2 linked regions of the Caenorhabditis elegans genome follow. The protein of the gene in region 2 purifies or fractionates together with the protein of the main gene of each other region. This does not show direct contact. Each region holds a gene or a part of one and is shown on either strand. Other genes may lie near its edges. The genes, in order: dbd-18 and rmh-1.

Region 1 (4,816 bases), on a different chromosome or scaffold from region 2:
GAGAATGCTCGTATATACGAACTCTACGGTTGGGTACAAAATTGAAACTTAAAAAAAAATTTCCAATCAGTTCACTTCTGGCTTTAGAAGTGGAAAGGCATAGGACACATAAAGTATCTTACTGAAAGAAATTATATTATCAAATAAATACATTAGTCATTCAAAATATAATACTTTTTTACTGTAAAAAACGACCACTTTAAATCATTTGATTCATTCTCCAGTAACTCAAAAAAAACATTCAAAAAATTCGACAAACATTTTACTTATTTAACATTTTTAATGGACTTGATTAAACAATTTCACTAATTTTTTGAAAGGCTGTCTTGAAAGATATAAAAATGTCTCCATGTCTATGAAACTTCATAAAATAAACATTTGACCTGAATATGCATAAAAATTATTTGTAGTGGACTATTGAGAAGAAGTCCTTTCAAATGAAATACGTTTCGTTCAGAAAATAACTGAACGCATTGCAAAAAATCAAAACTTATGACGTTTTTTTCTCAAGGAACAATAGAATTGTAAAATGAAATGTTTCAAAAAGTAAAATAATTGGAAAAAAAAATCAATTTGAAAGCAATCTTCCAATTTTTATCAATGTCGACTATTGCCTGATAAGATAACAAACATCATATTCCAATTAATATTTTATTATTATCAACATTATAAGTGCACTGCTGCAAAAATGTAACCTTTGGTATGCTGAAGGGTGAACTTAAAAAAGATAAATAAATGAAGTGGTTGAGTTACATTTCGCGTATTCCGGCATGATGACAGTACATAATAACATTCCAATTATACAGGCAAGTCACATCTTCCTTGGTTATTCTATCGATTGAAGTACCCGATGGATCACACATTCGCAAGCAACGAGATCCAACCTAAGTTTTTATTATCATTAGTTGACATAAACGGGTTTCCATGATACGGCGCCCCACGCAGCCAACACTATCTGGGTTCCGCGCCGCGCTAATTTGCCATAGTTTTCAAATGAGTATACCTCAAGTTAGGAAATTTTGAAAGAAAAGTTGAACTGATTAACTGTTGCCCAATATGTGATCTACATCTTAACACACATGTTTCAACGTTTCAAAACATTAAAGTCAAGAGATACAACGCCCGACACCTTGCGAGCTCATTTTTGTCAATTCTTTTTGGAACATCTGTAACTTGAGACTGAGAAGTTTTCATAGGAGCAGTTTTCTTAATAACCTGAACCAGTGAGGCAAAACAGTGTTTTGAGAAGCGCATATACAACCTTACATGTATATTTTACCGGTTTTTGAGATATAACCAATTAATTACACACCATAGAAAACTCTTTCCAAAAAAATCTTCCAAGTTATTTATATACCTGAAGTTGAGGGGCATTGAGATCTAAATCCAAGCAGCATTTCCTATTATCTCTGTTCTGGCTGGCACAGTACAAAATTGACGACAGGTGTTTAATTCGGCACTGGCTATCTTTCCGCATGTTGGTCAGCTGCAAAAAGTTTGTTTTTGGAAATATAAAAGAGGTACTCACAACACAATTGTTTTATTGTCATTTATAACGTTAGGCAACTTACTATTTTGAATTTACTTTGGACACTTACCATATTTCTAGTAACCGACTGATCAGTTTCGTACACACACATGTGATGGCATTCTTCTGGAACATACAATTGACAGCACGACAAAAAGAGTTTGTTCGCAATTCCCTTGGAAGTGCATGGTTGATAGTTTACCTCCGATGTTCCACATTTGCCCTTAATTATCAAACAATTGTTTTGGAACAGTACTAATGGAAATCATGTATTTTTTTAACCTCAGAGCTGAAATATTAGGAGCCCAAATGCTGCTGCCGAGATGCTAGAGCTCGAGCCCAAATGCTCGAGCTTAAGATAATTAGCTTGGGCTCAAACAATTATATCAGTACAAAATAAAACTGACCAACGGTTTTCTCGGAGCAGAGCGGCGATCATTTCCAACTTTTCTGGAAAAAACTGCAATTTTTCTGTCTGGACAGTTTGACATTATGTATTTATAACATTGTCGGGGAAGTCGACATCCTGGGGTGATAGGTGCTGTGCAGCAAGCCCCTGAAAACCAATGTTTTTTGTACGCATGTATTAACATAGAGCAAAGCTGATATATATATATATATATATATATATATATATATATATATATATATATATATATATATATATATATATATGTGTAGAATATGGCGAATCGGGTTAAAACCGGACAACGGGACGCGTTTTATACCCAATTCGTCCAATTTGCTAGCCCTGTTGTAGACTCACTAAGAAATGTTGTATTTTTTTCCATTCCAGATATATTATGGGAACTTGAGTGAACGGGCCTTAATTTTGAGTTATTGTAAAGGTTAAGCACGACATTTGGTACATTTTCAAAACCTATTTCAATGTTGCTAAAATGACTAATAAAACGTTTCAAACGATTTTTGAAAATGTTTTATTTCAAGTCAAAAAGCGATAAAAACTCACTAGTCAATTTTCATGATTTTGTTTTTACAACAATTGATTTTAAGAGATTTTTGCGCAATCAATTTTATACCTAAACGTTTACTTCGTTCAGGTTACCTTTTTTCACAGCCGGACATTTTTTTTCGGACGATACAAACTGAGTAAGAAACAAGACAAGCAATGAAGACGATAGAAGACGCATTCTGATACCAAGAGCTGCAAGATTTACAAGTTGTGTCAATTGAAAAATAATCTTGAAAATAGGTTATAAAAAATGTTTGAAATTTACATCTTTTGACCATTCAAAATGATTTAGTCAAAAAATGTTCTAATTTTTCAGAGAATCTGGGCTTAAAGGTGGAGTAGCGCCAGTGGGAAAATTACTTTAAGGCATGCCTATGGTAACACAATGACCAAATATCATAGTAAAAAAAATTTAAAAAATTAGTCTAAATTTTATATGATTTTTTGAAAGTTGAAAAAAACCCGAATTACATCAAATTCCCATTTGAATTACCGCCAATAGTTCAATGTTCGATGGAGTGTGCTTGAAATATACATTTTTTTAAATAAATTTTTCTCATTTTTGACAGATTTTTGATGTTTTTCGTGTAATCTAAGTAGAAATTTAGTGAAAAATTCAACACAAATGTATATTGTGCATTGAAAACAATTGAAAAACAAAGAAAGAACGTATTCCAACGACGTCGAGCCTGAAACAATCAATTGCACAGGTTTACGCTTCACTGTCCTCTTTTTGATAAAGAATTTACATTTATCTTGAATTTTTCACTAAATTTTCACTAAAATTACACGAAAAAAAAAATTAAAATTCAGACATAAATGAGAAAAATTGATAAAAATATGGCAAGCGCACTCCATTGAACATCGAACTATTGGCGGCAATTCAAGTGGGAATTTGATGCAATTCGAGATTTTTTCAACTTTCAAAAAATCATATAAAAATTTAGCAAAAATTAAAAAAAAATTTTTTTTACTATGATATTTGGTCATTGGGGTACCATAGGCATGTTTTAAAACAATTTCCCCGCTGGCACTAGTCCAACTTTGAGGATAATAAGCACCATCAATACAGTTCCCGAATGTTTGCCAATTTAAAACGTTCTGAAAACTTCAAATGTATAAGAAACGACTTTTGGCGCAATTTTTCAGATTTCGGTAGTTGGGGAAAATGTGCTGAACTTTTTTCAAGTTGAAATTAAAATTTTTGAAGTAGGAGCTTTACAGCTAAAAGTGTTTTGCGTAAGCTCGTTTAAACAAAATAATCTGATGGGCATACGTCTTGTTTTGAAACTTTGAACGAAAAAATTCCGTTTCCTTGTACAAATTGACAAACCCTATTTTTTAAAAATTCGTTTTTTTTTCAAATTTAAAGTAACAAGAATAAAGAACATCAAATACAAAAACAAAAGTAGGTGTTGGATAGCAAACAATAATTAAGAAGTGAAAAAAGAAAGAGAGAGAGAGAGAGAATTCAATCTGTTCATTGAGTAACAGTCAAGAAACGGAAAATTAGGGCAAACGGCGCATCAAACGGTTGCGGGTAAATTAATGTTCACGAAATCGGCGGAAAAAGACACAGGAAAAGAGGCCATGTATTACCCTTTTCCACTTTTCTGTTCCAAGCAACAAATTACATTTCTCGATCAAAGAGAATCGCGAGAACTAGTGAGAAGCCAAATGAAGAATAAATATAGTTTTTTGTAGCATTCACAGGAGAGTTCAAAACTAATTGGTTTGAATGAATTGTCGATTGTACGGGAGGAAAATTTTTTGCGAATTTTTTCATCCCAAAAAAAAAAGGAAAAAAAACACGCCCAGAAAAAACAAACAAACATTTTTGTCGCAGTCACCGAGGACCTAATTTTTGAATTCCAATTTCAACAGGCATATGACTGCACTTTTTTGCAAAAAAAAAATTTGGATTTTTTGGGGAATTGATATGGTAAAAAATTGCTAATTTTTTTTAATATCAGGGGTACATTTCTGGAACCTAGATATTCCATCCCAGCCGCGCTACAGGGGTTTTTGTCTTGAATTCCAATTTCAACAAGCATATGACTGCACTTTTTTGCAAAAAAAATTTTTGGATTTTTGGGGGAATTGATATGGTTTTCGTTTCGTTTCTGTATCCGTTTCTGTAGCTACGATATTCATTTCAAAAAACCCGAAAAATGTTTTTTTCAATATGCAACAAATCATTAAAAACTTGGAAATTATTTTTGGTTGCTTATATTTGGGCAGACAAAAAGTGTCCTAGCTATAAAAATTGCAAATTTTTTGTATTTTCAGAAGAAGAGTGTACTACCGTTTCTGTA
Region 2 (6,328 bases):
ATGGAGAAATGTCAAGCTTCAAATTTTGAAATTGAGTGAAGTGAAATAAAATTTCAACATCTAAAAATTGAGGGAAAATAGAAAGGAATCGAAACGTTCTGATAAGGCATATGTTGAAAATTACATCGAAGTATAATTCTTCAATAAAAAGACATCTGAGACGGCATTCAGAGGATTATTATGCGTGTAAGTTCCGCGTTTCAATAAAAATGTACTTTGCTGTTTTGAAACTATTATATGACTTCTTTTCTAGTTGCCCTTAACCTAAAGAATTCGTATTCCGTTAGTATTACAGAGCGGCGTAAGTGTTTGGACACCGTAAAAAATATTGTATACATCAAAAACTGCAATAATTTTCTGACCAAAATTATTACTATCGATCAAAACTCAACGGGTATAATAAGAAACCGACGCTGAAGACTACTGATAATTGATTTTATTTCTGTTTTTGAAAGTTATCGCAACGACAAATTTCACACTATCAGATGGTTGGAGAAAACTCAAATTATTTTATTGCTTATCGCGGCAAATTTATACCTTTAGCAAACATCGAATGGAAATACCTACGCTAGTTTTTCCAAAGCTAATTCTGAAATTTCCGTTTTCAAAAACCTAACTAGATGAAGCTCGAGAACCGTTTAGAAGTAAGAATCGATACCAAACAAATTAGATCGTAATGCGGGTGATGAAGAGAATTATTTACTTTGCCGACTTTCGGTTTATTATAAGAACACTTCTCTTTACAGGCTGACACAAAATAACAGATTTGGGGACATAAAAACATGCAGGAAACGGGGATCTAGAATTCTGTGCTATATAAATAAGTACAAAAGATTCAGGAACACAAAGCAATGAAATTTAGATCTGAGCATCAATCAACTGAGCACCAAGGCCAGCATCGTCGAGAGCAGAATCGCAACGATCGATCTTGGAGAGTCCAGCTTCCTCAGAGATGATCTTGGTGCAGGATTTCGAGTCCGGAGAAGCAGTTTCGGAAGAGGTCCCGAGAGATTCAGTAGTAGCAGAAGAGTCGGCAGCATCACCTGCTCCCTTCTGGTCCTTCTGTTTGCGGTTTTTATTCTTACGCTGCTTTCTTTGCTTCTTTTTCTCCATTGCTACTGCCGGAGCCTCGACAAGCTTTTCAGTTTCCTTTGAATCAAAATCCTCTCCAACAACGATTTTCGGTTTACGATTCTTACGGAAGCGAGAGAGAAGCTGATGGCGATATCTAAAGTAACTAGTTTTCCAACTTTACTTGTCAATCAATAACTCACTTCGATCCAGAAACATTCACCCCGGCTGGTCCGGTGACATTTGCAGCCTCAGGTCCATTCTTACCATCGACCAGATCGAAGAGCACTTCCTCCTCATCGGCAAGTGTCCGAAGGTAAAATTTCTCAGTGTCCGATTTGGAAATAGCTGTTTGGTGAACGAAGACATCCTTCTCTCCATCACTACGGGAAATGAACCCATAGCGACGAAGTACAGAGTACCACTTCACCTTTCCTTGAAGTCCAGCGGTAAGAACAATCTTCGCCTTCTGCTCCTCCTCCCAAATGCGTATGCGCTCGGCAGCTGGCAGACGCTAAAAATCATAAAATTGTAAATGTTGTACATTAGCACGTCATGCATCATAAAGAAAACGAACTACTTCAAAACAGTCAATGGTAGTTCCCAAAGAAGTGAGTTTTAAAAAAACTTACATGCTTGCTTGTATCATCCTTGCTTGGCGATCTTTTCTTGCCGATGGAGAGATCGTCGAGTTTCTTTTCGATGACTTGCTCATCTACTTCGACAGCAGTATTCGCAGTGTCCGACATTTTCGCCGTAGTTGCTCTTAGCACTTGAGGTACTGAAAAACAAGACTACATTGAGTGACTGAAGCTTCAAGGGTCGACGGCGTGCAGAAGAAAAGAAAAAAGTCGAAAAATGACAGATTAAGTGATAAACGCTCGCGGGCCTGTGGTCCCGTACGACCGTAACCAGCGTACCTGCACATCAAACATTTGGCGGCGCTTCAAGGTTTTAAACGCATTTCTTACATTTTTTTGTTAACAAATTTGTTTTCTTATTCAATGTTACACACATTTTCATTATTTTTTGTTGGTATTTGCAGAGCGAACGCATATAAAAACTACAAAATATATGAAAGAAACTGAACTTGATCGTCTTTTCTCTTGGCTTGCTAGGAAACATTACCCATTCAAGAGAGAATGGCTAAGAATATGCGTCCAGTATATCGAAGGATCACTCGGACAAAGAATTAAAACTGTTGATGTGAAGCAGATTGGTGAACTTGTCATACAACAGTTTTTGAATTCAAAAATATCCGAAGCTTTGGATCCCACCATGAAAATCCCAACGAGCGCAGTAAAAGTTGTCATTGTTAAAAGAATGATTTTCCAGGTTATTAGTTTGAAGATCTGCCGAAAATCAACAGGAATATTTTTAGGTTATTTCCTCCACGAATATATCAACATCCTTGTACGAGCAATTGTCAGAATGTACTCGACACAACGAAGATTTGGCTTGGTTTCATGGCGGATCCAAAGCTGATCACGAAGAAGAAAATCGCGACAAAGAAAAAGATGTGGCCTCTGATCGCATGAATCATACGCAGACGAAAAATGCAATTAAGAAACGAGGAATGCTGAAAATTGAGCTCACCGATGGTGTGAATACTTTGAAAGCAATCGAGTTAGACGAAGTATTTGATGAAAAAATTATGCTACCCGGTGCAAAGATTATTCTCACAGGAAAAGTTAAATGTCGTCGTGGAAATCTTCTACTGGATAAATCTAATTGTGCTTTTCTGGGCGGCCGAGTGGAATCACTAAGTTTTGATAAAGTGGCACAATTATCAAATGCATTGAAGGTTGACTTAGACGCGGAGAAGAAACGAAGAAAGTAAGTTATCACTTAGATACATTAGAAATCAGACATCATCTTAGCTTGATTTAATTCTTCTAGTAAATTCAATTTTCAGAGCATCTCTGGAAAACGCTGCTGCTTCTGTATCACGAAATAACAAGAAACAAATAGACAAGAAAAATCTTTCCCTTAATCAATCATCGCTTTCTCCATTTTTAGTCAAAACAAGTCGAATAACGGGAGAGGTCACTGTAAGTATTTAATCTAGTTCCACTACACTTCTTTCAATGGCTTAAAAACAGTTCTGAAAATTACAGGTTCCGGTGAAACAGTCTTTGGTGCCTACTGCGTCACGTATTCTACCATCTTCCGTAGCAGTTATTCCCAGCATTCAAATAGAGAAACCAACAGATCCTATTGAAAATTGGGATTTTTCAATCGAAGAAGTTCCGCAAGAACCAACTCCAGAACCACCAAGTCATCATGTACGGGGCCTTGTTGAACATTATCCATTGCGTTCAAAACCACAAGATCCGCTCCCACCACCTCCAACGAAGCGTTTATCTTCATTAATAATTGATAAAAATTCGATTTCAAAAGTGTCCCAAAACATTTCAAATCAGGTCGAGAAAGGTCTACTGCAAAACAAGACGATCGAAGATTGGACTTTCAATTCGACAAATTCCTTTGACAAATCTAAAAAAGTTATGTCTATTGATAACTCTAAAGATCAAAAAATGAAAATCAAGGAACTTCCTGGACAACTAATACGACCGACTCCAATCGAAAAACCTATAATCGGTGATCCTAGAATGAACAGTGAGAAACGTAAGTTAAAACAGAATAAAATATAAAAACCTTTCAGCTATAATATGATCCTCTTAACAACAACTATACCACAAAAGTTTCAGTAAAAGTTTTCCAGGCAAAGATGTTTCCGTATGGGTTTGGGAAGATCGGAAAGGATCAGAAGAGGAAGACATTGCGGCGAAAAGGATCAAAAAGATAGATTCAGTTATGGAGATTCCATTATGTTTTGTGAAGGAAACAACTCGCCAAGCGAATCGAAGTAATGAAGAGAGTCGTCATAAATTAAATACATTTGCGCAAACAATTCATGGTCCTCGTAGCAAGATTGACGATTTTCGAGTCAAATCGAACAATGTTCCCGTTTTCAAACAAATTACAGATCACTTTATAACTGTGAAAAGTAATCCTAATTCATTCACATCTTCTACGCGTCATACACCACCTCAAATGCCGAAAGTAGTCGATTTTGGGAATTTTGAAGATTATGATGAAGATTATGAAGATGAAGTTCTGCCAACATCTTCGTTCCGAGATCAATTAAAACAAAGAAAAAGTCTAGATAATCATGGAGAAGATGTAGTCTTAGAAGAAGAAATGGATCATGTAGATCACGATGAATCTATAAGTGAGTTGTTTTTTAATTTATCGGAAAATTTAACTGATAATCTCGTGATATTCAAAAAAATATTTATATTCAGTTGAATGTACAATGGATCATGAGGGACGTTTGGAATGCGAACGATGGGGATTGCGTGGAAGGGAATCGAATATTATTGAGGATGATAAACGGAATGTTTACAATGGATATAATATGAATAATAATATAGAACGTGACAATAAATACGGTAAGCTATAACTGTCTTAATCAATCATCTGACATTTTGGAAAAATTTCAGATTCTTCAATGAATGGAATGCCCCAGCCAAATCTCCAGCATCCTCTGTCAATTCTTCCTCCTCCACCAGTCATTCCTCCTTCACAGAATTGGAATTATACAGGATACTACCAAGCTCCGCCACTTAGGAATGTAATAAAAAGCGAGACGGTGGATTCTGTTGTACCGGAGGACCAGAAAATGGTTGGAGCTCAGGGAAAGAAGAGACCAAATGTAAGACAAGAAAATGATAATATGAAAAACAAACAATCGGCGAATGTTCAAGTTTATAGGACACCTTTTGCTGAAAGGGTTTGTTTTTTTTTTCAGAAAAATCAAAATTATTTTCAAAAAAAGAGGTTTATTCTAGTTGAACAGTGGCGATTCATCTTCAAAATTGTCGCCCCAATTATTCCAACGAATGGCTGATCTGCAAATCGTACCATTCGGCGATGCACTATTTAATCGAAAATTCTGGATGATGTCAAAAATTGTAGTCATTATGGTAATAGCTGATATTCTGTACGAAGTAACAAAAATTCTAACATTTTCTCACATTTCAGCCAAGTATCTGCAGTCAAATACACGAGTTACAATCTGATGGCATCGATTGGCTACTACAGGTATATTGTCCAAATAATTCATTTCTAAATACTTTATTTTCCAGATACGAGTAACAGATACATCAGTAAAAAATGTTATCTGCCGCGTTTCCACGAGCCTTCTAAATCGAATTTTTGGATTTGATGTTCAACAGTGCAAGGTTACAAAATTAATGTGCTATTCGTAAACCTTTTTTTTTCAGAATTTATTCAACAAAAATCAAGTCGAGGAGCTACGTGCGAAGAAATGCGAAGCCGAACGTAAACTTCTTGGATTCAAACGTCTTGATCTTCTTTTATGGGTTGAGGTTTCACCAGAGCGTAACCAAATTCCGCTCATTCTTGACGTGAAAACGATTTCTGATGCTCTCAATATTTTGTAATTATTTCTATTGCTTGCTACCTGAATTCACGTGTACCACAATATAGTCATGTATTATTTAATTGTTCTTGTTTTTTTGTTGTTTCCAAATACAATACAACTGTTTTAAGCTTTTTCTTTCGTTAAAATTTCTTTAAAACAGAAATGTAACAAAAAACATAAATTTAAACAAACTGTATGGAAAACTGTACAGTTTTCGATACAACGAGAGTTTGAAACTACAGTACTCTTTAAAGGGTCATGCCATTTTCGAATTCATCAAAAGTTCGTCGGGTCGAGACATACATACTACAGTAAGAAATGTAATATTCTCATAAAGCTCAAAACAATGTATTTATAACCCAATCAACAGCATTTAGACCGGACTATATTTTTCCTATCGGGATCTCCCTTTGTTTTGAAACAGACGATTAAAACTCAAAAAACGCAAAGTAAAATTGAAATTCGTTCATTTTGTTAATGATCGAAATATTTAGGTTACATCAGTATAAAAGGTTTGCATAAGGCAATAAAAATAACGTTATTTTACATGAAATGTTAGAATAGAATTATATGTCTAGTTCATAGACATCTGGGACACGTCACCCAAGAGAGTCCGTTGCTGCACGGCCGATCCGATGTTAGTACTGCGCATCTTTGAGGCGAATTCGATGCTTCTCTTGGACTCTGTCGCTTGCTCGTTGCATGGATTGAGATTGACCACAACCATAGTCTTCGAGTTGCCACGTCCCAAGCAGTCCATCAGCACTTGTGTCAGTTTGCTGTCGCGATATGAAACATGTCCCTTCT

The links.
Region 1: the proteins of rmh-1 (region 2) and dbd-18 fractionate together in Caenorhabditis elegans (co-fractionation; one large-scale study listed by BioGRID). This does not show direct contact.

What each region holds. Positions count from the first base shown.
Region 1 is NC_003284.9:295,111-299,926, reverse strand, and holds dbd-18 (DB domain-containing protein), read right to left. Parts: upstream 2,694-4,816; 5' UTR 2,680-2,693; coding exon 2,595-2,679; intron 2,085-2,594; coding exon 1,936-2,084; intron 1,752-1,935; coding exon 1,599-1,751; intron 1,487-1,598; coding exon 1,358-1,486; intron 885-1,357; coding exon 750-884; 3' UTR 640-749; downstream 1-639.
Region 2 is NC_003279.8:5,571,098-5,577,425, forward strand, and holds rmh-1 (RecQ-mediated genome instability protein 1 homolog), read left to right. Parts: upstream 1-2,116; 5' UTR 2,117-2,145; coding exon 2,146-2,406; intron 2,407-2,452; coding exon 2,453-2,907; intron 2,908-2,986; coding exon 2,987-3,122; intron 3,123-3,188; coding exon 3,189-3,699; intron 3,700-3,796; coding exon 3,797-4,306; intron 4,307-4,379; coding exon 4,380-4,526; intron 4,527-4,577; coding exon 4,578-4,867; intron 4,868-4,925; coding exon 4,926-5,060; intron 5,061-5,118; coding exon 5,119-5,178; intron 5,179-5,222; coding exon 5,223-5,318; intron 5,319-5,360; coding exon 5,361-5,540; 3' UTR 5,541-5,652; downstream 5,653-6,328. Other genes in the region: cey-3 (CSD domain-containing protein), read right to left, coding at 859-1,228, 1,275-1,585, 1,704-1,820; klp-15 (Kinesin motor domain-containing protein), read right to left, coding at 6,096-6,328.